Regions from separate parts of the Mus musculus genome. Here regions 1, 2, 3, 4 and 6 are each reported to be linked to region 5. The links are microRNA targets in miRTarBase. Many come from high-throughput screens and were not tested one by one. Region 5 holds a microRNA gene; each other region holds the end of a gene's coding sequence.

Region 1 (4,097 bases), not on the chromosome of region 5:
TGCATTACCAAGATAATACACCACTTACCTAGCTAGTTGCTAAGAATGTTGCATTCTAAGCCGGGCGTGGTGGCGCATGACTTTAATCCCAGCACTCAGGAGGCAGAGGCAGAGGCAGAGGCAGGTGGATTTCTGAGTTCGAGGCCAGCCTGGTCTACAGAGTGAGTTCCAGGACAGCTAGGGCTACACAGAGAAACCCTGTCTCGAAAAACCAAAATAAAATAAAATAAAATGTTGCATCCTAGTCTGTCTAGTTTACTGCGTCCTTTTAAAAATGAAACTGCTGATTTAAAATCCCACAGTGGGCTTAAGTAGTAGTGCTCCAACTTGTAAAGGTCCTGTATGATGTAACAAAGCTACTAGATTTCCTTGCTTTCCACTGCCCACCTTGGATAAGGAACAAAGGTTTTCCTTGCTTATTATTTCATGAGAATTATTACCTTTGGCAACGTTCTGTTTCAAACATTCTCTCTCACCAATTTTCTGGCCTAGCCCGTTACCTAATTCAAAAGCCCTCACAAGCTTTTTCCAATCTAGATGAAGTGCTCACCCTTCTAACATTATCACTGTGCTCCTAGAACTTACTCCCTTTCCTGCAATTCTGAGTCTGGATGGTAGCTTATTTACTTTATAGTTATATATAAAATAGGGACTCATTTATGTTTCTCTTAAATTACCTTTTTTTTTTTCCTTGTTAGCTTTTAGATCTGTGCATTCTAGCCATCGACTCTTTAGAATTTCAATACAGAATTCTGGCTGCTGCCGCCTTATGTCATTTTACCTCCATTGAAGTGGTTAAGAAAGCTTCAGGTAAGACTATTTTGTTGACTTTGTACCTGTTCACAACTTTTTTTTTTGGTTTTTGGTTTTTTGAGACAGGATTTCTCTGTGTAGCCCTGCTGTCCTGGAACTCACTCTGTAGACCAGGCTGGCCTCAAACTCAGAAATTCACCTGCCTCTGCCTCCCGAGTGCTGGGATTAAAGGCGTGCGCCGCCACACCCGGCTGTTCACAACTTTTAATGGAACTACAGATACCTTAATACCTTACCAAACACAAAATAAAACAATTTAGTTGATTTTTATTTTGCTAAAAGTACTTAACCCTTAGTGTATTTCCATAGTCATAAAAGAAAATAAATTCCCAGCCAAGTGGAAATCAAATACCACAATTTTAATTTGTATGAATAGAAACTGGTTTAAAAGCTTAGAAGTGAGCCTGGAAAAATGGATCAGTGGTTTAAAGCACATACTGTTCTTGGAGAAGACCCAGGTTTGTTTCCTAGCCCTCATATCTTGTTCTAGCTCCAGAATATCTAACACTCTTCTGATCTCTGGGCACTTGTGTACATGTATACACATTCACATAAATATAAATCTTTAAGCAAAAAACAAGAACAAAAAACACCTACCCTCAAGAGAGTCAGATGAGTAGCAAATCCTATAATCCCAGCACTGAGGCCAAATCAAGAGGGAAGCCAACCTGTGCTACAGAATGACCCTTGAGAAAACTATTAATTCTTTTCAGCTTTAACGTCATGTAAGGAACAGTTTGATTAACATTGTATTAACTTTTTAAATCTAGGTTTGGAATGGGATGACATCTCGGAATGTGTAGACTGGATGGTGCCTTTTGTTAGTGTTGTAAAAAGTGTGAGTCCAGTGAAGCTGAAGACTTTTAAGAAGATACCCATGGAAGATAGACACAATATCCAGACACACACAAATTATTTGGCTTTGCTGGTATGGTTTTTTGTTTTATGTGTTTTATGGGAGGTTGTTTTTTTTTTTTTTTTTTTTTTTTTTTGCTGCCTTATCTTTCATTGTTTTTAAAAATCGTGCTATTTAGTTAAGTCCTGAAACTAATGGGGTAGAAGTTAGCAAAGTTTATCTAAGGTCTGAAACTACTGTGCATTACTACTTAAGACAGTTATTTAAGATGATAAATGGGAAAGTAATGACCATGTTGACTTAAAATATAAGGGAGATAACTAAATTAAGGCAGACTTGATGATAAGGGCCTAGGATGCACACTAACTAGTACTAGGGAGGCTGAGGCAGGAGGATCATAAGTTCCCAGGCCACATAGTAAGACCCTATCTCAAGAAAAATATTACTGTTAAGCAGCTTAAAATCAAGACCAGCAGCCCAGATAAGAAATTAGAAAGTTTTGTTGAAATAAACAAGGCTGATCTCTAACTCGGGGATCCCTCTGCCTCTCAAGTGCTAAGATTAAAGGTATGTACCACCCCCCAGCCCCCAACAAAGATAGAGACTCTAAAATTAAGTTTGGATAGAAAAAATTGGTAGAGGTCTGGTATTACTACATACTTAGTTTATCTTAACTGTTAATTACTGAATAATTTCTTCACATGTACAGAATGAAGTAAACTATGTGAACATCTACAGAAAAGGAGGGCAGCTGTCACCAGTGTGTAATGGAGGCATTATGACACCACCAAAGAGTACTGAAAAACCACCAGGAAAACACTGAAGTTAACAACCTGGAATTGAACAAATAATGGATAGTTTCATATAAATGAGTTTTACAGAAAAGTAGTGCTGTAACTATCCTTGTCTAAGGAGTTACACTGCCATTCTTTTACTTAAAAACTATATCAATTTGGCACTAAATGCCTAGGATGCACAAAATCCTGGGTTCAATCCCCAGCACTACAAAAGGAAACAAAACAAAAACTTCAAAAAATTGGCACTAAAGAAGTATTTCCTATAAAAGAGAACTTGTTTACAAAGGTGACTTCACTCCCAAGGATAGTGGATGGAAGCCAACAATTTAAGCTATAGCAGTTGTTTCTGTTTGTTACTGTGTTTCTTTAAAATTCAGTGTTACTGTATTTCTTTTGATGAACTAGGAATTTTATCATTGGAATATGGACTAAACTAGTGCTACCTTAAAGGATACATTAGCTGACACAGAACTTTGAATCTAGATTTTATATTCTTAAATTCCTATACTCTTGAATGGTGCAATTTGTTTTTGAAAATAAATTTTAAGCTTATTTACAAAGGTTGTTTTGTAATAAAGTGACTAATTTATCTAAAGCAGTTTGTAACAAACGATAAAACTTGAATTTTATGAATGGTAAAGTTCAATCTGTTTTGAACTAGTTTGTCTGCCTTGCCATATTTCTTAATCAGTAAGGCACTGAACCAAATGTTTAAACTGTGCTCTAAATGGGAGAACCAAAGAAATTATAAACAAGATATAAATGCTTTGGCTTCTTCTACTCGGGGGTTTTACTTGATAGAAAGGTTGCTTTATAATCTTTTTGTGTATCACAATTTGGGTAAAATTAAACACTTTTTCAAACTATATAAGAAAGTCACTTTATTGCACACTAAGATATCTCTAAGGCGCTTTATGTTTGCAAAACTGGTGGTCCATTTTTAAGCCCCATATTATGAGATGAGGACTGTGTCAACATGAAAAAACTTTAACATATGACCTAAACTATTTTCTTATGGCAGAAAATATTAAATGTATACTTACTCCTAGAAATTTATTTATTTAAACTTGCTGTATATAGAATAGCTACTTATACATTAAATATTTTAAGTTAGCCTTTGAAAAGGAAATTTGGGCCTAAAAAAGTTAATTTCATTAGAAAAAAAATGGTACCAGGCATGAACCTTGTCTCTCTTTGAAGAAATTATAAACTATTGTTAAGATATGAAGTTTTTGTATAATTTGTTTATAAACTAATTTGTTTCAGTTTGTTTTGGTCTAAAAAGAAAACACCACTAAATTGTACATATGTATTATATAAACTTAATCTTTTAATACTGTTTACTTTTAGCCCACTGTTTAAAAAATAAAATTGAAAAAAAATTAACTAACTGCTTAAAAGTAAAGTTTTGCCATTGCTTGTAGAAACTTCTTTTTCCTTCTCTGTGCTGCCAGCTGTAATACTTCTTCAGGGTTGCTTGCATTCAATTCTGTTTGGCCAATGGCTTTGATCTTAAAACAGAAAAGTGTTATTAGAAGTTTGACTGAAAAAAATTGTCACAGTAGTACACATAACTCAAAGTTAAAGTTAACTAAATCAAATTAAAAACTACAGAAAAAAATGGCATCACA
Region 2 (4,108 bases), not on the chromosome of region 5:
CAAGCTGGCTGGAAGAGGTTTAGACAAGAGTCACTTGGAAAGGACAGTCTCCAACCTGTTGTAATGCCTGTTTGTGAGTCACTTCTGCTCCTGTAAGTACCCTCTCACCGGCATTCCTGGAAGTAACCCACAGTAAAATTCATTAGTTCATTAGTTCAGTCAGAGTCAAAGTGGTCCAGCCACTGGCTCTGGCCACAGTCACTCCATTATTACAAAAACTCCACCCACAGTTTGCTCTTTCTAACCTTGGAAATCAGCATTTGAGCATTTGAGTTTATTCTTTTCCAAACAATTCTCTTTCCTTTGTCTTTTTTTTTTTTTTTTTAGATGAAAGGTATACAACATGAGCTTAACCGATGGTTACACTGTAAGACTTAGTGGCCATTGCTCCAGCAAAAGTGTTGTGCATAACCATATTTATCAAATCCCAAGCATCCCCAGCAGACACTGCTTCCTGTTTCTGTCTCCTGAAACTCTGGCCACCTCCATTTTCCCAGGTTAACTCTGAGCAGCTTGGCTCAGAGCTCCTGGCACAATTTCCTATTTATTGTGTAGACGTCCCAACTCCAGTGCATCTTCCTTCTTGTATTAGCCGCGCTGACTGAGTGATGCCAATCCCATCCACAGATACAGGCAGCCATCAGCACAGCATGGGCTCTGTCTTTGCATCCTTCAGGAGGAGATGGGGAAGCACTACTAACTTATGAAGAATTGGTACTAGGCCACTGATGAATGTTTGCTCCCTTCCTCCTGGAGATGGGTAAATGGCACTTGGATAAGACCCTGTGTTAGGGTGGACATTTATGTGCTGGTACTGGTCTTTCTGGTGTAAAAAGCTCCATGTTCCCCCTTCTATTCATCAGGTAACATGGCAGCTAGTGTTACCCTTGAGGGGAACACATGACATGAGGCATAGAAATAACTCTCCATGACAGACAGAATACAAAGGACAAAGGGTCACCCTTTCCTCTTAGCTGAAAGTGCAGTTGCTGAGATTGTAATGATAATGGCGGGGGGGGGGGGAGAGAGTGGGAGGATGTCAATGGCTATTAGTGTGGCATGTTTGGATGCTGCCAGCAATTTTTGCTGTCGCTGGGCTGCTCCTATGCCTGTAGAGGAAGGAGCGGGGCATTGGCAAGGAGGTCCAGCAGAGTGCTAAGGCTGTGTCCAGGAGCCAAGTCCCTGAGCAGGAGAGATTCCAGTAAGGAGGTGAAGGGTCACACAGCTCGCCCAGGTGCCAAGGACATGCTGATTGCCCACTTTGGCAGTCTTTCCACCCTGGACTTGCTTGGCCTTTCTGTTCCTGTCATTTGGCTTCCCTCCCAAGTGGGTACAAAATGAGTAAAACCATCTGGTTTTGGGTGTTTTGTGTCTGACTTTCCCTGGGAATGTGAATGAACATCTATTCTCATCATCCAGGCACTATGACAGACCCAAGCAACTAAGTAACCAAGCAACCAAACACAGATCCACCCGAGTCAAGTTTGATGAAACAGTTTATTGGAGCACAGGAGCACAGCTGAGGGATTACTTACAGGAGCACGGGTTGCCCAGGCAGTATGGCCATTGCATTGGTAATGACTTACAAACCTCCAACCCTGGGGTTCCTAAGAGGCTTCTCTCTGCTGATAAATGTTTACTGCCTGGGTGACATCAGAGAGGAACGCTCTCCAGAGTCTCCTGGGCCTCTGTCAGCCCCCTAAAAGGGGAAGTTTCAATTCAGACCAGAGAGATACAGGGTATCCCACCCACTCCAGATCTTAAATCTTTATGCATCCGCTTCCATAACTCTTCCAAGCCTTGGAGCAGGTGATGTGTGTGTGTGTGTGTGTGTGTGTTTGTGTATATCCATTTTCTTCCATTTATGACCCAATATCGGATTATATCAAAGGATCAGTCAGTTATGCTCAGCAATCAGGGAAATTATGAGTCTCTGGAGTGACTACCTCTCACTGTGAAAAAGGCTCCCTTTACAAGTGATGCTGGTACAGCAGTCATTGGGCATAAAAAGAAATGAAGGCAAGCTGATAAAAGTTTATATCTGCTTAATAAAAACTAAAACAATAGTACTAGTCTTCTTACTATGGCCTGTGGCCTGCACATCACATAATTTTGTCTTGATTTAGAATAATCAATGGGAATATCCACCTATGGAGGCCTTAATCAGAAAGTATGTGTGTGCAAACATAACAATGCCACTATAACACTACAACATACATCTTCCCGGCAAGTAACAACACAGCACAGGGAGCAAGACTGTCTCTACAATTGTCCCTCAGCAGCCTGGATCGAGCCTCTTGGCACTAGAAACCCAGCGAGCACACAAGGCTGTTCCAGGTCACTCTCTGTTGATTCTTCTGTGTCCTGAAACCAAACAGGTCATGTCCTCAGCAAGGAGTTCTCCAGTTCCAACATGCAACCAAAAGCAGTGGAAACCACATCTGTGATTTGATGTCCCTCTGGGCCTTTCCTTAACAATTCTGGAAGTCTCTTATGCCTAGCAGGGTCATCTTCAGCCAACAACTTTATTAGTTCTGAGACTGCCTTTCTCCACTCTACAGTGCTGTTCCAACTCCTGAACTGCCATTTTAACTTTTTACAGAGGAAATCCAGGAGCACTGGAAGCCCACTGATGTCCAACCTACTCGAGTGCCAGTTGGTCCAGGCATTTTCCCTAGGGTGACATATTCATACAATTCCTGATCCCATTTCATCTTCATGAATCCCCAAGTACATTTCATGCATTTAATTGTGCTTTCCCATAAGACTGGGACCAAGAGGCCAGGAGGGATCATTCCACCAGGAGAGGCCATTCAAAGTTACTCTCACTGCATCAGAGGTCCCCTTCCTCCCTCTGCACAGAGGTGGCTTAGGTGTAAGTTACAGGCTTCGTTGCTCCAGTGCTCTCAGTGCAGCCACCCTGATCTGTGCTGTGCCTCTACCAGTGGAGGCTCCATTTCTACACAAGTCTTAGATTTAAATCCTGTGAGCTGCTGGAACTTCAGCTCAGCAAGGTTGCTTGCCTTGAAGTCTTGAGACCACCTAGCTGATACTGACAGCTAACAGATTCCTAAGTGAACTGTGTGCAGGATGGACTCAGTTGGGTTTTGTGCTATCTTATCATGGCACTAGAAAGACGAAAGAGAGATACTTAAAAAGGCAGAATGGAGCCAACACCCACAGGTCACCACCAGCATGGCTGCATCTGAAAGGAGTGCAAAGGGAGCCCTTGGGATTGGTACTGGGAAACTGCCAGGAGTGGCTTGTTCCTAGAGCAGAGTGAACTGAAGCCTTCTGGACACACAAATCAAAAAAGGATCACATCCTTTGTGTAACAGGAAATATTAGAGAGAAGAAGAGACACAGGGCAGGAGACAAAATCAAAACTATAGGAGAGGATGAGAAGCCAGAAGCACACAGTCCTGGGAGCCATATATATTGGGAATTTATTGGATAGATGATTAAATAATAAATAGGGTATGTTTGCCCCATCTAGGTGTGTAGCCTCAGTTTATTTCAATTGAGTTTTGAATTCATTGTGGGGACATTTTGTGGGTTGAGAATTTATTAATTTAAATCTGACTGATAAATCACAAGCCTCTAGACTTTTGATTTTACCAGGTTACAATCCCCAGCAAGAGATCCTCAAGATGGGCAGTTGCTACATAGGACAAGCCATGGAGGCAGTGAGACCACTGGGGCCAGAGAGTACCTGGTGCTAGCATGGAATGGGACCTTTTTTTAAATATTTCCCACTATACCCTGGTCCTGAAGCAAAAGGGAGAGAGTAAGAGAATTGAAGAATAGAAAGACCCATTAACTTCTTGCTTATACTGACAAAGTACTGGCCTGTCTTCTGGAAGCCCATGGCCTGGTAGAGAGCCTGAGCACTATGTTGCACACTGCCAGTCTCAAGGACAACATCACTGTAACCCTGGTCCCGAGCAAACTGGAGGACAGTTCTGACCAGTGCCTTTGCTATTCCCTGTCCTCGATGCTGTGAGGACACAGACAGGCGAAAGAGCTGCATCTGCTTCTTCCCTAATGGAGGGTCCTTGACTGGCTGAGCACCCACCATGCCAACTACCTGGTCTCCAGACTCAGCCAC
Region 3 (4,000 bases), not on the chromosome of region 5:
GAAATGTTCTGGTTCCTATAAAGGACCTGGGCTGAGTGACCCAAACAGTGTGTTCCGGACTCCAGGATTCTAGGGAGTTAACAACTGGATGAGGAGAACGCAGAGCCTCTGAGGGAATGACAGGCCCAGAGCCACATTCTGGGTAGAGGTCTAGAAGATGGACAGGACTTCTGGGAGCCAGTGAGGCTTCGGCCCAGCTGTTAGAGCCACAGCCCCCTCCTGCCCTGTGCCCAAACCCACAACCAGAAGGGCATAGTCTGCTCTCGGGACATTCCATCCCTTGGATTACTTGATGACGTGTCTGTCTCCTACCCTCCGCCAAGCAGGGTACAATTTTCTAAAAGCAGGGGAAAGAAAGGCTTCCCAAGAAAATAAACCGTGTGGAACAACCAACAGTCCCTTTCTGTCACCTATTTGAATGATGTAATTACGATGAAGTCAAAACCTTCATACTAATAACACTAAGCAAGACCTCCAAGCGCACACAAACTGGGGGTCCCTGTTTCTAAAAAGAAAGCAGATGTCATTACATCTGTTATCTGTGTTGGTAACTTTAGATGGGATGACATACGCTCCTTCACCTCTGCGTCCTCTGAACAGAAACTCATAGCAGTCACTGAAGTCGGGGGTGGATACACAAATCCTGCGACAGAGCACAGGACAGGCCACAAGAACAGCAACAATTAGAATCTCAATAATAAATGTCCTTACTAATGCTTCACACCACCCCCCATAGAAAAACAACAGTGAAAGAGAAATTTTCCAGCCTCTGTTGAGGACACCTTGGGTGAATCCAGTTTTGTTTCTGTTGTTAGATGGGACAGTCAGTGATACCTGGCATCATTTAGTAGTCACCCAGGAAGGGGACAAACTCCCTCCCCACCCCCACTTTACCACTTATTTCAGGGATCTTCAAAAAAAAAAAAGCCATTGGCCAGACTGACTGGAGGGCTGACAAGATGTCTCAATGGGTAAGGGTGCTTGTCGGTAAAGACTGAGGTCCAATCCCTGGAGCCCACGCAGCGAGAGGCAAGAACGGAGAAGCTGTGCCACACCTCCCACATATATGACATGGCACATGCATACACATACACACATGCACCAAGAAACCACTTCTTGAAAATGTTTTTAAAGCGAGAGAGGACGCAACACTAATTACAGTATCTGCACTAGTCTGGTTGAGGCCGCAGCAAAAAGACTGCTATTACAGCCTGCTCTAACTTGTTAACTGGATCAGTGTGGAACTATTCACTTCCCATAAATCCTGGACTTTGCTCTTTTGGTCCTTCCGAGGATCAAATGAGATATTATGAAGTATTGAGTCAGAGGCTGGCACACAAGGAACTCAGTAAATATATTAAAAACTATAAAGCAAGAAAACAAAAACAAAACAAAACTGTCCCCTGATGCCTATCAACTTCCTTGCCATCAGGACTAGAGTTAGATAAGGTGATCCATATCACAGCCCCAAGCAGTGAATCTGGGCTCCCAATACACACACACCTGCAGGCGCTGAACGCAACACTCGGGAGCTTGTCATAACTCCACAGGCACAGGGTCTTCTGACTGCCTCCTCACTCCCAATACCTGAGGAACAGCAGGGAGACCTGAAAAGGATTCCACAAAGCCCCTTGCTAGCCCAAGCGTTCTACCAGAGAACCATCATCATCAGTGTGCAAAAGGGAGATCTAAGTATCCTAGCGGGAAGCCTAGTATTGCCCCACCACCCAGCAGAGCGAAGCAGGCTCTTCCCAAGCCACACCCAGCAATCCATCCAGGTTGGATAAACTTAATGTTTCCTTCCTGGTGTAAAACTGGGGACTTCAAACCCTGCAAGGTAAGTCAGTTCTATTATTCTGCACTTTTATAATTTCCTATTCACTTAGAGCGTGCACATGACGCCCCAGGTTCTCCTTTCACCCTGGACACACAGGAACCTACGGCCCGGCCAGGAAACATGTACAGGGCGGCAAGAGGCATAGTGTCTAGACTCTAGAGAAGATGGCATGCTACAGCAGTCGTGAGACTGGGTGGCCAAGAGAAAGCGGCTGCGGAACTTGTTAGAGTTTAGACCCTGACGTAACTTTTATCGCTTCTAAACCATTGCTTTTGAAATGCACAAGGATTGTGCCCATCCGGCCTGCACATGATCAGGCTGTCTTGACGATTCCTAGCCTGTGAACCATGCTTTCTAAAACACATAGAGCAGGTGTGGGCCTTATTTGGAGGCAAGCGAGTTAATGTTCTACCCTGAGCTGATTGCTTAGTTTATTTCACTTGATAATGAGTTTTTATGGCGACCTTTTATTAGCATGGAAATGTACACCTACAACTCAAAGTAATGAGTGCAACTTGTAAAAGTCAGGTTTGTTTTTATTTGATACATTCTAATCAAATAGTAACAGCAGTAAATAAACACTTTGAAAAACAGGCAGGTACCCCTCTATATCTGGAAGAAAAGTTAAGTCATAGGATTCTACATGGTAGAAGGGAGGCAGCTGTTGATGTCCGTGGTCAGACAATTCAAGGATAACTTGGAAAGTTCTAAAGCCATTTCCAAAAATAAAAATAAAAATAAAAACAATGGCACTAGGTTGGGACTCACAGCTACATCAAGGGGTAAAATGTCTCTGTCTGCATTGGTTTCTGTTTTCAAGGATTGAGTTGCACCTGTATAGCGTGACATTCTTGTCTTTAGCCTCAGAAGAAAAGAGAGAAGTCTTTTCTGTTTGCACCAGTTTGAAATGTGTCTGAAGTAAGGCTGCCTTGAGATGGAGGACTACAGTACTCACTCACGGGGGAGGTCATACGTGTAGTAAAAAAAGACAAATACAGGATCTCATGGTGATGGTTCTTTTTTCGTTTCTTTTTTTTTTTTTTTTTTCCTTTTTTTGGTTGATTTGATTAGTTGCATAAGACGAGGGATAAATACAAGCATGGTCAGCTTAACGGAACTCCTACTAGATACATCAGGATGCAAACTATAACAGGTTCTAACACAGACTGAACCCCAGGCGTCTAGAAGTGGAGCTGAAGCCTGGGTCAGCCAGGGTCTTTCCCTCCTTCAGCTGTCCTCCTGGAAATGGAAGCCTTTCTTTCTCTCCTATGGAGCTTGGACTTTTGACCCAGTGCATAGGAACCCAAAAAACAAAGGCAAGTCATTCTGACAGGAATATTCTCTTGCCTTTCCTTGGGACATTTTGTTTTTGTTTTGTTTTGTTTTGTTTTGTTTTGTTTCATTTAAAAGGGCCATTTGATCTTGAGCAGCCATAGGAAAGAAAGCATCATTCAGCTAAAACTACCTAAGGGGAACTTTAAAATACCTAGCTACATCTTCACACCTTTAAGTTAGACTGAGCCCAACTGTCCTTAAGAGAGAATTCTGCGCAGTTATCCAGAGGAGGGCCTCTGGGTTCTCTTTCACATAGCTGCATTCGGAGATAGTCTATATGAGGCATGTGTTTTTTTTTTTTTTAAAAAAAAACGAAAAAGAGAGAGAAATACTTATACCTGGAATTTATATTCTTCCAAGTAATCTTTTAGTCTTGTTGGTAAAGGCAGTCCCCAGATCGTACCGGTACATTTGTTAATGGCGAGTCGACAGAAATGCTGCAGAGTGGGTGCTGATGTATACAGAGGTTTGGTCAGGTACAGGTGAACAGTCCCATTCCGTGGGGCTTCTGGGCCTGTCCGTTTATCCTTGCACATCTGGACATAGTAGTCAATCAGATGAACCACACTGTCAAACTGTTTAAGCTTGGACTTGACACATATGATAGAATCCAATCTGAATTTCCCATCTTGGTACTCAATCCGCAGGTTAGTCGGTCCAGCTGACGTCTTAACGGATATAGTTAGTAGGTAGTCTGAATGCGAACTATCTCTAATCAAGAAAGTTCCTTCTGGAGCCTCTTTTAATTTCTCTTTGGCTTCATTAACAGTCATACTTCCCCAGTACCATCCTGGGGTTTTTCATTCAAAAAAGAAAAAGAAGAGAAAG
Region 4 (4,108 bases), not on the chromosome of region 5:
AGCGAGCAATGGTGACGCACACCTTTAATCCCAGCACTTGAAAGGCAGAGGCAGGTGGATTTCTGAGTTCAAGGCCAACCTGGTCTACAGAGTGAGTTCCAGGACAGCCAGGGCTATACAGAGAAACCCTGTCTCGAAAAACCAAAAAAAGGGCTGGTGAGATGGCTCAGCAGATAGGAGCACTTGACCGCTCTTCCGAAGGTCCTGAGTTCAAATTCCAGCAACCACATGGTGGCTCACAACCACCCATAATGAGATCTGATGCCCTCTTCTGGCACATCTGAAGACAGCTACAGTGTACTTATGTATAATAATAAATAAATCTTAAAAAAGAAAAGCCAAAAAAAAATTTTTTTTTCCTCTTTCTGGGCCAAAATAGTATGTTCTGACATAGTTTAACAATTAAAACACAGGAAATATCTTTTCTCCCCAGCTTGAAAATAAGGAACTTCGAGAGTTACTGTCCATCAGCAGTGAATCTCTGCAGGTTGGAAAAGAAAGCTCTGTGGCTCCTGCCTCTCAGACCATCAAGTAACTGGACTTCCGAAGGCTGGCTACAGCTTGCCCGTCAGAGCGAGAAGCCGTGCCCTCCTCTCCTGCCGTGTCCAAGAGTCCTGCCGCAGACTTGACTTAGTGTTGGGTAGAGGTATGGGGTGGCAGTTTAGAATTGCCACTTGGTATTCATTGTCCACTAACTAGTTTGGGGTGTACTAGTGAAACTAGACAAGTCCCCCATTGCTGGGACAGAGATGACATTTGTCACTCTAGTCCGGAATCTCTATAAACTGTTACCTGCAGTTCAATGTTGTTTTTCACAGCTTGGAAACACTGAACACTTTTATTATAAGCCAGGATTTTATTTTATATAGGATTATAAAAATTCCTTCTAAGAGTTTTTCAAAGATTTAACTTTTTAAAAATACATATTTGGTGTAAACCTAGATTTTTTTTTTCTTCCACTTGTAAAAGTAGCATGACTTCAAAGAAGCAGATTGGCAGAGTCTCTGAGTGACGTCGCTCATCCATGGGGTTTGATCCTCTCCGGTGCTAGGAGTTGGCACTTTGTGGTCAGGTGTCTTTGCTCTTAATTTGAGAGAATCTATTAGTCCCCAGGAAATACGCTTGAAAACAAGTAAGCCGGGTTCGCGTTGCTCCTCCTCCTCCTCAAGGATCCACAGTCATTCAGAGAGTGCTGAGGAACTTGGGCCTGCCCCATCATGCACAGGGAGCTATTAGATGTACATGACTGTACATGTACATTGGACTTAAATGCCAAAAATAGCTTTTATTTATTTGACCAAGTAGTTTTCCATTCTGTCTGCCTAAGGAGTCTTCGGCTTAGGTAGTTGCCTTGTATGAGACATACACATACACACACACACACACACACACACACACACACACACACATACCTCACTCACAGGTTCCTAGCTCCTAGGCACTTTCATGGACACACAGCTGTGCTGTGCTGTGCTGTGCAGAGCAGCACCACTGGGATGGTTTAGACCGGCATCAGTACTTTGCTGTCTTTCCATCTGCTGGGTTTTCTCATGGAAGCATTTTATTACTCACAGAAAGTTACCACATTCCTGATGCCATGCATTCAGGCAATCAAGAACAACCTGAGATTCTAATAGCTCCCTGTCAGTTCCTTCTCATCTTGGTTTGCTCATATGTCAGGTTTATAAATAATTCCTTTTGCACTGTTTGCCCAGATGGACTTTGGTTTTTGTTCCCATGTTAACTTTCACTCCAGCTGCTCCCCTTGATGTTTCCCCTAAGGGCCCCAAGTGTGTACTCCACAAACCCATTCAGGGGTGGGTTCCTTTACCACTTGTCAGCTGTCACAGCAGGTCCCATCACAGTGAGAGCATTATCAGTCAGTCTATTTCAGCAGTGAGCATGGTGTCCCTTTCTTTATCTGCCTTCTGTTCCCGTAGCACTCACTACAAAGGTCTTTGCATCTAGCTTTCAGAGGAATCTCTCCATTGCAGTCCTGAGGGTAGAGCAAGCTTTCGGTGCCCTGTGTCGTATAAATTCTGCCTGGTGTTAGTGCTGTGAAGGCATTGCAGAGCTAGCACATTGAATGGAGAAAGAATGTTTCACACTTGTGTGAAGATGCTAATATCTCTTGCAATGGGTGGAAGTATTTAGTGTATAAAATTTTAGTATGAAATTATATTAACTAATAAAAACCTTTTTGAGAAGATTTGCTCATTTTACTGAGAAATGAGTCTAAGAAGTTGAGCTGGAAAAAAAAAGGAAGTTTAGCTGAGCAGTGGCGATGTACACCTGCAATCCCAGCACTTGGAAGGCAGAGGCACATCTCTTGAATTCGAGGACATGCAGGTTTACCTAGTGAGTCCCAGGAGACTACACAGGGAGACCCTGTCTTGAAAAAAGCAAAAAGAAGTATAGGAGATTTTTTTCACATATTCACATACATAGCAACCATGGCAAGTGTTCATGACATAGATGTCATAAGCAGCTTGCAATTATTCAATATATTCAGCAGTATAAACCTTTGAAAAGCACATTAACAACCTATTCATTGCAGAAGTCCTGAATGTATAATTTACCACTGAAGTCTATTTCCATGTTTCTTAAAATGCACCTAATGAAATAGAAATTTATGGATGGAATCTGGAATTTACATCTTAATAATCATTCCAGAAAACGGCAGTACCGGTTTAAGAACATGTCTGTTAGGGCTAGGAGATGGCTCAGCAGGTCTAAGTGCTTACCATGAAGTCAGATGGCCTGAGTTCAATTCCTCAGAACCCACATGAGGGAAGGAGAGAACCAACTTCTAAAAATTACCTTCTGACCTACAACACACAAACAGATAAATTGTGTATGATGTTCTGTGCAAATTATTTCACTAGGAGTTAAAAACAAACCGACTTTAAAATGAGAAGAGTGGTAAAGGGATATTACAGAGGGGTGGGATATAGCAGCGCTATTCCCCTCTATGCTGCCTGCCCGATAGCAGCAGATAAATTGGGCATGGTGGCACATGCCTGTAATCCCAGAATTTGGAGCAGAAGCAGGAAGAGCAGAAATCCAAGGTCATTCTTGGCTACATAGTAAATTCAAAACCAGCCTGGGCTACAAGAGACCCTGTCTCAAAAAACTAAACAAAATGTTGTGCAGATAATTTTGATGCAGTGTGTTACATCAGATGTAAGTGTAGGATACAGCACAGAAAGGGCTGTGTTATTTGAGAATCTAAAAGTTGACCAGGGAAGGGGGTGGGGGAGGGGTGGTGCTAGGAGAAAACATAGAAAACAGCTGCAGAATCGAAGTCCAGGGGGTCCTGCAATGGTTACTTCCTTATACTAAGGGGTTTTCTGTGTCAGCTGACACAGCATCCCCGCTTCAGTTCTTTACAGTTCCATACATACTAGAAGGTTCTAATTTGTCCAAAGTGGAGCCAAGAATCACACTCAGGCACTCTTCAGCACATTTCTTAAGGACCAAGTTAAGGCACCTTTAAATGCACATAACTGTGGAGTTCATGGATCTTGATCGGCAAAGTCAGTCAACAGGTTAATTAACAGGGTAAGAGAGACACTATGGCCTGTGTGTTGTGAATACCGTGACTTCTGTTTAGTTCACGCTGCTGCATGGTCCCTAGAATGCTGTGCCTGTGAGTGGTCCTCAGTGTGGAGGGAAGGGTGCATTTCTGCACAGGGTGCCTTTTTCCACGTTGGCTCCGTCTGTGATGCTGTTATCTTGTTATAGGCTACTGCTGTGTCAGATGTCATGCCCATGTGGAAGACAGGGAAAAAATAGAAAACTGCCTGCCCTACACTACAGACACATGGGGAAAGCAAACGTTTCCAGAAATTCTAATGGAGTTCTCTCCATATCTGCCTCACTTATTAAATAGACATGTCTAATTGCAAAGGAAGCTAGGTACACAGCCGTGCCAAATAAAATCAGTATCCTCTTAGCAAAGAGAAATCATACTGAGAAAACAGTAAGGCCTGATTGTTACAGTAAGGCATTTTACCGTAAATATAATTTTTAACAAATTAAAATTATTAGCTGCAGGGATGCCTACGTTGAGTCACTAAGAAAATGAGCTGTAGTGGACACTGTTATT
Region 5 (4,108 bases):
TCTAAACATACCTTATACATATAGCATGAAGGTAATTTTATAAAATATTTTTAGTGCTCCTGCCTTTTTTGAGATGAAGTAGAGCTCTCTGCAACCTTAGCTGTCCTAGTATTTGCTCTGTACACCAGGCTGGTCTTGAACTCACAGAAATCCACCTGTCTCTACCACCCGACTGCTGAGATCAAAGGTGTGCATTGGTGGTCAGGTGTGGAATTCCCATATGTGGCTTTATGTGCTAACTCAAAAAAAATCAGATTTTAAGCCAGATATACTGGGGTATGCCTATAATCCTAGCACTCGGGTACCTGAGGCAGGAGGATTCCCATATGCTGTAAGCCAGTATTGGTTGCATAGTGAATACTAGGCCATCCAAGGCTACATAGTAAGACCTTGTCTGAAAGAAACAAAAAACGTTTTAGATTTTAGGTTTTAGGATGAAGGATGCTTAGCCTGGAGAAACTAGAATAATACTGGATTAAGAAAGAAATTTGGGGCTAAACATAGCAGCACAAGCCTTTAAATGCCCGCACTTAAGAGGCAGATCTCTGAGTTCGAGGCTAGCTTGGTCTATGTAGTGAATTCCAGGACAGAAATGGCTACATAATAAGACCCTGTCTGTCTGTCTGTCTGTCTCTCTGTCACACACACACACACACACACACACACCCACACCCACACACACACAAAGGTTTAGTGCTGGTGATACAGCTTAGTTAACAGAGTACTTGTATAATATCACAAAGCCCTGGGCTTAGTTCAAAGCACTGCATAAACCAGGCTCTGTGATATTTATGTTGTGATCTCAGTTCTTAGGATCACACACACATAACAGAATAAGGAGGATCAGAAGTTCAAAGTCAGCTGGGTGTGGTGGCGCACGCCTTTAATCCCAGCACTCAGGAGGTAGAGGCAGGTGGATTTCTGAGTTCGAGGCCAGCCTGGTCTACAGAGTGAGTTCCAGGACAGCCAGGACTACACAGAGAAACCCTGTCTTGAAAAAACAAAACAAAAACAAAGCAAAAAACCAAAAAAAAAACAAAAAAGAAGTTCAAAGTCATCCTATGCCACAGACCCTCTGGGTCCCTTTGTCTGCGTGGAACGAGTCTCTGGGGCAGGTGGGCAAAGAGTGGGCGAATGAATGACAGACAGACGAAACACAAGAGGTTGTGTAGAATCTGAATGTAATTTGTCAAATTGCGCATCAAACTTTTTATACAGAAGAAAATAGGGAAGTTAGGTGACACATGGGCAAGGTACAAATGAGGTTACCGGATGCTTAATGACTCTTACACAAAACAGAGGAATGTAAACACAAAGACTGGCAGGAACTGGGCAATAAAATAACTGAGACAAAGTCAGCTCTATCTAAGGTCAGCTATAGTTTTAGGAGCCAGGTGTGAGATCTTTTCACTCCTAGGGCAAGGGCTTTCACACATAAGTCATGGTTCTGATTAGGGAGTTCCGATCTAGCTAACCATCTCATGAATAATGCAATACTCTAAAACCACAGCCTGATCTACTTCCTAAACCATTGTAAATTCCTGCATATGGGAGCAACTTGGCTTTTATTCTAAGTGATAGTGTAATACCAGAGGCAATTCTCAATATCACTGAATAGGCAACATTCTTACTAAATTCCAAGCCCATGGTCAGCTCAAGGACTTTCTAGGATGTTGGAACACTGGCGAAGGCTTAGCTATGTCAGAATTCAATCTTAAAAGGCACTTATAATAAGATAATACTAAAAGAGAGCATGTGGATCCATACACCAGACTAACGCGGAAATAGGGTATGAGTATATGGGTTTAATGAGAACACCAAAACTCCAGGAGGTGAGTTTCCATGAAACTCTTTGCCTCGTGAGCGCTTCCAGGCCTCTCGGCCTGCCAAGCAGATTTCAGCGGACTGTGCGTGGCAATCCTAGCTACATAGGAAGATGGAGACCAGTCTGGGCTACATAGGAGACTTGTATCAAGGTGCACAGGGGGTGGGGGTGGGGCACAGGTGGAGAGATGGTTCAGTGGGCAAGAGCACTTAGTAACAAGAGCAAGCATGAAGACCTGAGTTCAGAATCCAGCACCATGGGAGAAGTATGCCTGTAAGTCCCATGCTGGGAAGGTGGCAAGGTGATGCCAGGGTAGTTGGGGCTTGGAGGCTAGCCAGATTATCCAAAAACTGTGAGCGACAGATTTAGTGAGAGACCTTGGCTGAAGGAAATGAAGTCAAAAGTGAGAGGAGGATGGACCAAGTAGGCTGTTCAGGGATTAATGATAGCAATGATGGTGGATTCTTTTTTTTCTTTTGTTTATTTTGTTTGTGACAGTTGTCTGTTATGTGTTCCTGGCTGGCTTGGTACTCATGTGTAGCCCAAGCTAGCCTCTAACTCATGGCAGTCATCCTGTCTCAGTCTCCTAAGAGCTGCTACTATAGGTTTGAGCCTCCACATCTGTTCTGAATTATGGATCTCCAATCACCAGGGACCTCGGTTCTTGCTATTTTCCAGCCTTTGACACGGACCTGTGTTTTGCTTCCAGGAACAGTTGTTGAAACTGTTTCACTTTCATATTTACATCGTATGTGGAAGGAAGGAAGGAGGAAAGGGAACAGGGAATAGTAGTAAGGAGAACCTTCCTTTCTTTTGAGAACATGTTCTGCTGACTCTGGTGGTTCCTGCCTGTAATCCCAGCACTCAGAAAGCTCACACAGGGCTGGAGAGGTGCCTCCGCAGTTAAGAGCACTGGCTGCTCTTCCAGAGAACCGGGATTCAGTTCTCAGTGCCCACCTGGCAGCTCACAACTGTCTGAACTCCAATTCTGGGGCATCTGATGCCCTCCTCTGGCCTCCACAGGCACCAGGCATGCATGTGGGACACAGACATACATGCAGGCAAAACACCTGTGCATGTAAAATAAATAGATAAATAAAAATTAAAATAAAAACCTTAGGAGGATTGTGATTTTGAGGCCAGCTTGGTTTAAAAAAATAAAATCAAACCAAAACAGTCATAACAGGTGGTCTTTATTCCAAAGAGATGGAGGCACAGAGATCTCCTTGAGCTTGAGCCAAAGATACATAGGGGGACCCTCTCTCAAAACAAAGAAATCGTTAATAAGGGCTGGAGAGATGGCTCAGTGGTTAGGAGCACTAACTGCTCTTCCAGAGGCCCTTTGTTCAATTCCCAGCAACCACATGGTGGCCCACAACCATCTGTAATGGGATCTGATGCCCTCTTCTGGTGTGTCTGAAGACAGCTACAGTGTACTCATATAAATAAATAAATCTTTAAAAAAAAGTGGATGGTGGCTGACAATGTTTAAAAACAAAGAAATCATAATAATAAAGACTTAAGTTATACTTAACAATTCTAGATACAGATTAACCACCTGAGCTGTGCCCAGTGATGCTATTCCTAGCTACTTGGGAAACTGAGGTAGGATTCTTTCCATTAAGGAATCAAGACTCAGTCTCAAAAAAGAACACTGGGGCTAGATGTGGTGGTGGTGCATGCCTTTAATCCCAGCACCAGCAGATCTCTGCGAGGTTGAGGCCCCCCTGGTCTCCATAAGTTCCAGGACAACAAGGGTTACATAGAGAGATCCTGACTCAAAACAAAACAAAAAGAAAGAAAAAAAAAAAAAGAAAAGCGTTGTGGGTCTCAATCCTCTGTGCAGCTGCCCTTGGTTGGGGGCTGTCCTGCACTTCAGGCAGAAGAGCAGTGGCTGGAAAGAGGATGAAAAGGCTCTGGGGTCGCTCAACTCCAGTCTCCAGTTGGTTAGGAAGAGCAGAAAGTGCATGCTAGGAGACGAGCACACTCTGAAGAGGACCAAACAGGGAAAAATAAAATTGGTTACTCTTTCCAACATACCCATCTTTGAGGCGATCTGAAATAGAGTACCATTAGTCCATGGTGGCCAAAACTGTTGTGTGTCACTACAGTGGCACAATGTGTGGAAAATCATTACAGAGTATGCACACTAGTTTTGTTGACCCTGGCATTCTGATATTATAACAGACTGGTGAAACGCAAACCTGGAAAGTTTTTCTTTTCTTTTTCTTTTAATTTATTTTATGTATGTATACATAAATGAGCACAGTATCTGTCTTCAGA
Region 6 (4,090 bases), not on the chromosome of region 5:
TTCCAGCTGTTGTCGAGGAGATCCATTCACTGATAGAGAAAAGCCGGAGGCTAATCATCGTTCTCAGCCAGAGTTACCTGACTAACGGAGCCAGGCGTGAGCTCGAGAGTGGACTCCACGAAGCACTGGTAGAGAGGAAGATTAAGATCATCTTAATTGAGTTTACTCCAGCCAGCAACATCACCTTTCTCCCCCCGTCGCTGAAACTCCTGAAGTCCTACAGAGTTCTAAAATGGAGGGCTGACAGTCCCTCCATGAACTCAAGGTTCTGGAAGAATCTTGTTTACCTGATGCCCGCAAAAGCCGTCAAGCCATGGAGAGAGGAGTCGGAGGCGCGGTCTGTTCTCTCAGCACCTTGAGCTCCAGACGAGCTTGATGTCAAAAGCAAGTGAAGCGCTGCTAGAGGTCATGCGTGTGCCTATTCACAGCGGTAGCTGTGGTTCAAAAGGCTGAATTTTGTGACTATACCCCCCACTCCCAGTTAGGAGAGTTGTCATCGGGTCATCACAGATGAAACAGAGCCTTGGTTGTGATCCTGAACTCGCAGAGGGGGCCTTGGGATTCACAAGAAATCAGTTTGTTATTCTTTCTTCCTCTGGAGCAGTGATTCCCAACCTGTGGGTTGTGGCCCCTTTGGCAAACCTTTATCTCCAAAATAGATGTACGCTATGATTCATAACTGTAGCCAACTCACAGTTACAAAGTAGCAACGAAAAAAGTTTTATGGTTGGGGGTTTCACCACAGTGTGAAGAACTGTATTAAAGGGTTGAAGCATTAGGAAGGTTGAGAACCGCTGGCCTAGAGCTGTCTGCATACCGTTCCATTCAGCCAAGATGGAGGTAGGCTGGCAAACTGATTTATGCCCCTAAATAAGGCACCTCTTCAGAATTTTTCAACTAACAGTGGATTCCAACTGGAGAATTTTATGCGCTCCGAGGCATTTTCTATGAGCCAATCTTTACTGCATCTCAAGGGTACATGGCTCTCTCCCAGGCTTGGGAGGTGCAAGAGGTGAGAGAAAAAGCTGGAAACACAAGAGAAATGGGATGAGAGAAAGCTCCAGGAACTTGGCTTCAGGATGAGTTTGGTGTTGCAAGGTAGTTCTTAGAAAGTCAGTCAGACGTCAAGCAGGACTTCCTTGTTTCTTCAACCTTTTCGTACATCCTTTGAAATGGAACCTGCGATATCGTTTATTGCAGACAGAAGTTTAAATTCAGAGAACTCAGTGGGCCTTTCAACTTTAGTGGCTTTAAGTTTTTGTTGGCTTTGTGTAAATGTTTATCTGTAGGATCATACTAGCTGCTAAACTGTAGCAAACAATCAACAAATGCTTGCTGTTTTTATGAGCCAATTCTGGTGCCCTGGGCATGCAGGCAGTTTTGGTGTGGCAGTTGACGGTGTGGTATGTGCAGCCAAATTTGATGGACAATCTTGGATTTTGTGAGCTCTGGAATTTTATCCAACTTCTCATACTTCAGTTTACTCATTTCTAAAATCAGAGTTTAAAGTAAATACAGCTAGTTCCCAAGGGCACTAAAGACTACTCTGTAAACATGGCTCTTATTGTTGATGGCAGTAACTGCTCTCATTCATTGGCTCAGTGATTCCACAGTAGAGGGAATGGGAGCCAGAGAGCAGGTTGGGAAATGGGTCTACAAATAGGAGCAACAAGTGGAGAGGGCAGAGGAGAAACATAGCAGTAGAAGAAACACAATATACATAAGCATACACACATAAACATACATACATACAAAAACACACATACAAACAGAAACACACATAAACACAAACATAGAACCGCACACACAGAAACACATACAAACATACATACACACACATACACACACACACACACACACACACACACACACACACACACACACAACACCTCCTGCTGAAATATGCATCTCTCGGCACTGGAAGATACTTTTGTTTCTCTAAAGAGAGTTGTCACACTGGGGCCTCCTCCATGGTTCAAAACAGTAGCTGTCTGTGGGAATTGCCCCCCGCTCCCATGTGTGTGTGTGTGTGTGTGTGTGTGTGTGTGTGTGTGTGTCTGTCTGTCTGTGTGTGTGTAGGTGTATGCTACCCTTGCATAAAAAAGAAGATTCAGAGAAGCCCAAAGCTTCTTGTGACCTTGCAAGTGCCTGAGTGAAGCAAGAATATTCTAGGGAAGTCTAGAGCAGAGACTGTGCTGAACAAACACAGTAGATTTTAGGAAAACCAAACCAAACCAAATGAAAGGAAAGGAAACAGAAAAAAAAACAAGAAGAATGGGGATTCTTAAGTAATTTTTGTAACTCATGACTTCATGTGCTATTTGACTGACTTGAGAAAAGAAGGTAAATTCATTCAACATCTGCTGTCACAACAGCTGTGTGTGAAAACCTAGCATCAGAAGAGAGTTGGGAGAGTTTGAGACTTCGCTTTGTTCTTCTATCAGCCAAGCTTCGACACATGAAGTTTATTTTATATGAAATATATTTTGTATTAAATCTGCCAAATACATACATTAGACTGGAGATGTCTCTTGATGTCCTTTTCATTTGTCCTGAGGTTTCTTGACATCCTTTTCCTTTGTTTTGGTGAACACTGCACTGCCTGGTTTTCACCATGGATCCCCACCTGCTGTAAGGAGCTGAGGGAAATTTAATACAGCCCATCTGCAACTATCGCTTTAAAATCCTGTGTGTATATTTTTGAAAAATTTACTCTTTAAGAACGTCATATTTTATACAGTGAAATATTATACCCACACCCATTCTCTCTTGCCACCTCTCCCCAACATGTACCCCACGTAATTATCGCCCTCAGTTTTGAAATAACCTAAGTCCAGTTAGTGTTTCCTGTAGATGCAGCATGGGGCCACCCACTAGAACATGCACACACTAACTAGGAACCACAATTACAAAGAAGACCGATTCTATCTCCCCCAGCAGCTATCATCTGCCAACAGTTAGAGCCAGAAACCTCATGACATCTTTCCCATGGATGCTGCAGTGTTGGCTGGTTTGGTCTTGTGCTGCTGTGCAATCTCCAGCTCTCCCATTCTTCCTGCCTCCTCTTCCAGGATGGCCCCTGAGCTTTGGCAGGAGGCAAGGTGGAGCTAACAAAGATGTCTAATCAGGGCTGAGCACTCAGATTCACTTGCTCTCAGAACTTTGATCTGTTACGAGTCTTTCTTTGCATTGACTGCCACTCACCGAAAAAAAAAAGAGAAAGCTTTTTTAATCAAGGCTGAGAGAAGCCAAGGTCCACAGGCATAAACATAGACACTTAAAAGGAGTTTTGACAATATTGGCACTTAGCAACTTAACAATAGTTGGTCCCACCCTACGTGCTATGCTAGCCTTGGCCTTGTGACCATGTTGATAATATCAGGTATGACTTCCCTCCTGTGATTGCACAAGAACATCCTCAAGTACAAGCTGGATGTGGTTGGTTACAGCAAACACTCAGGCCACTAATGGCATTAGGCGTGGCTCAGAATAGGGAAAGAGCAAGGGGTTGTTCAGGGCTCCTTATACGCCATTCAGCTTGGGGTAAAAAGACAAAGCCAGATGAAAGCATTTCCTAAGTGAGACATGACTCTACATAGTATCCCCAAGATACATGGAGGGAAGACTAGAGAGGCGACGATCAGTGACAAGGCAGCCAAGGGACTCACTGAAGTGTGAGTGTGGGTGGAGGCTGCTGGGAAGGATCTCAGGAGCTACCGGCTCCTGAAGTGTGGCTCTGAAGAAGAAATGAAAGCTAGGGAAAATCATATTTTCAAGAAGGAACTTCCATGCGTGTGTGATCTCTAGCACAGTGCAGCGGGGCTGGGGGAAGGAGGCTCTTCAGAGTGACCAAGCCACAGAGCTAACAGGAAACGGTCTATGTGTGTTCTGTGGGAAGGACAGGGCCCCTTTCTACTGCATCCGTGTGCCACAGAAATAGCAGTCAGAGCCCAGGCTGGGAGCTTCCAGCCAACTACTATGTTTCTGGTGGGAGACATATAAACTCAGAGAATGCCACTCCTAGCTTATATATGTAATTGTTACGACCTGGTGTGTGTGTGTGCTCAGTAACGGATAATGAACATGTCAG

What was found. The annotated mature microRNA mmu-miR-1198-5p reads UAUGUGUUCCUGGCUGGCUUGG and lies in region 5 at 2,332-2,353, shown strand. An mRNA with a match to its seed (bases 2 to 7 or 8) in the 3' UTR can be bound and repressed. Matches are read on the target gene's strand: a 7mer-m8 pairs with bases 2 to 8, a 7mer-A1 pairs with bases 2 to 7 and ends in A, and an 8mer does both.
Region 1: miRTarBase lists Ints8 as a target of mmu-miR-1198-5p. The part of its 3' UTR that is shown has no 7-base or 8-base seed match.
Region 2: the mRNA of Nat8f2 is a reported target of mmu-miR-1198-5p. Seed matches in the 3' UTR shown: 7mer-A1 at 2,172-2,178.
Region 3: the mRNA of Socs2 is a reported target of mmu-miR-1198-5p. Seed matches in the 3' UTR shown: 7mer-m8 at 3,457-3,463.
Region 4: the mRNA of Sike1 is a reported target of mmu-miR-1198-5p. Seed matches in the 3' UTR shown: 7mer-A1 at 1,365-1,371 and 7mer-A1 at 1,405-1,411.
Region 6: the mRNA of Il18r1 is a reported target of mmu-miR-1198-5p. Seed matches in the 3' UTR shown: 7mer-A1 at 1,731-1,737, 7mer-A1 at 1,759-1,765, 7mer-A1 at 1,777-1,783, 8mer at 1,812-1,819 and 7mer-A1 at 1,835-1,841.

What each region holds. Positions count from the first base shown.
Region 1 is chr4:11,200,607-11,204,703 of GRCm38, forward strand. It overlaps Ints8 (integrator complex subunit 8), which reads right to left. Exons shown (of 27, transcript NM_001159595.1): 27 at 2,322-3,977. The coding sequence ends at 3,861. Ccne2 (cyclin E2) reads left to right here. Exons shown (of 12, transcript NM_001282943.1): 10 at 699-810; 11 at 1,584-1,741; 12 at 2,379-4,097. The coding sequence ends at 2,492. Among named protein-coding and RNA genes, the nearest start is that of Ccne2, 11 kb to the left of the region's middle.
Region 2 is chr6:85,863,944-85,868,051 of GRCm38, forward strand. It overlaps Nat8f2 (N-acetyltransferase 8 (GCN5-related) family member 2), which reads right to left. Exons shown (of 3, transcript NM_053096.3): 3 at 1,479-4,108. The coding sequence ends at 3,719. Among named protein-coding and RNA genes, the nearest start is that of Nat8f2, 3.1 kb to the right of the region's middle.
Region 3 is chr10:95,409,149-95,413,148 of GRCm38, forward strand. Socs2 (suppressor of cytokine signaling 2) reads right to left here. Exons shown (of 3, transcript NM_007706.4): 3 at 2,342-3,962. The coding sequence ends at 3,505. Among named protein-coding and RNA genes, the nearest start is that of Gm33230, 3.0 kb to the right of the region's middle.
Region 4 is chr3:103,001,275-103,005,382 of GRCm38, forward strand. It overlaps Sike1 (suppressor of IKBKE 1), which reads left to right. Exons shown (of 5, transcript NM_025679.3): 5 at 434-2,640. The coding sequence ends at 535. Among named protein-coding and RNA genes, the nearest start is that of Sike1, 7.6 kb to the left of the region's middle.
Region 5 is chrX:7,804,811-7,808,918 of GRCm38, forward strand. Mir1198 (microRNA 1198) reads left to right here and starts at 2,291; the gene lies at 2,291-2,411. The region is part of intron 14 of Gripap1 (GRIP1 associated protein 1); the gene reads left to right.
Region 6 is chr1:40,498,332-40,502,421 of GRCm38, forward strand. Il18r1 (interleukin 18 receptor 1) reads left to right here. Exons shown (of 11, transcript NM_008365.2): 11 at 7-2,523. The coding sequence ends at 359. Among named protein-coding and RNA genes, the nearest start is that of Il18rap, 15 kb to the right of the region's middle.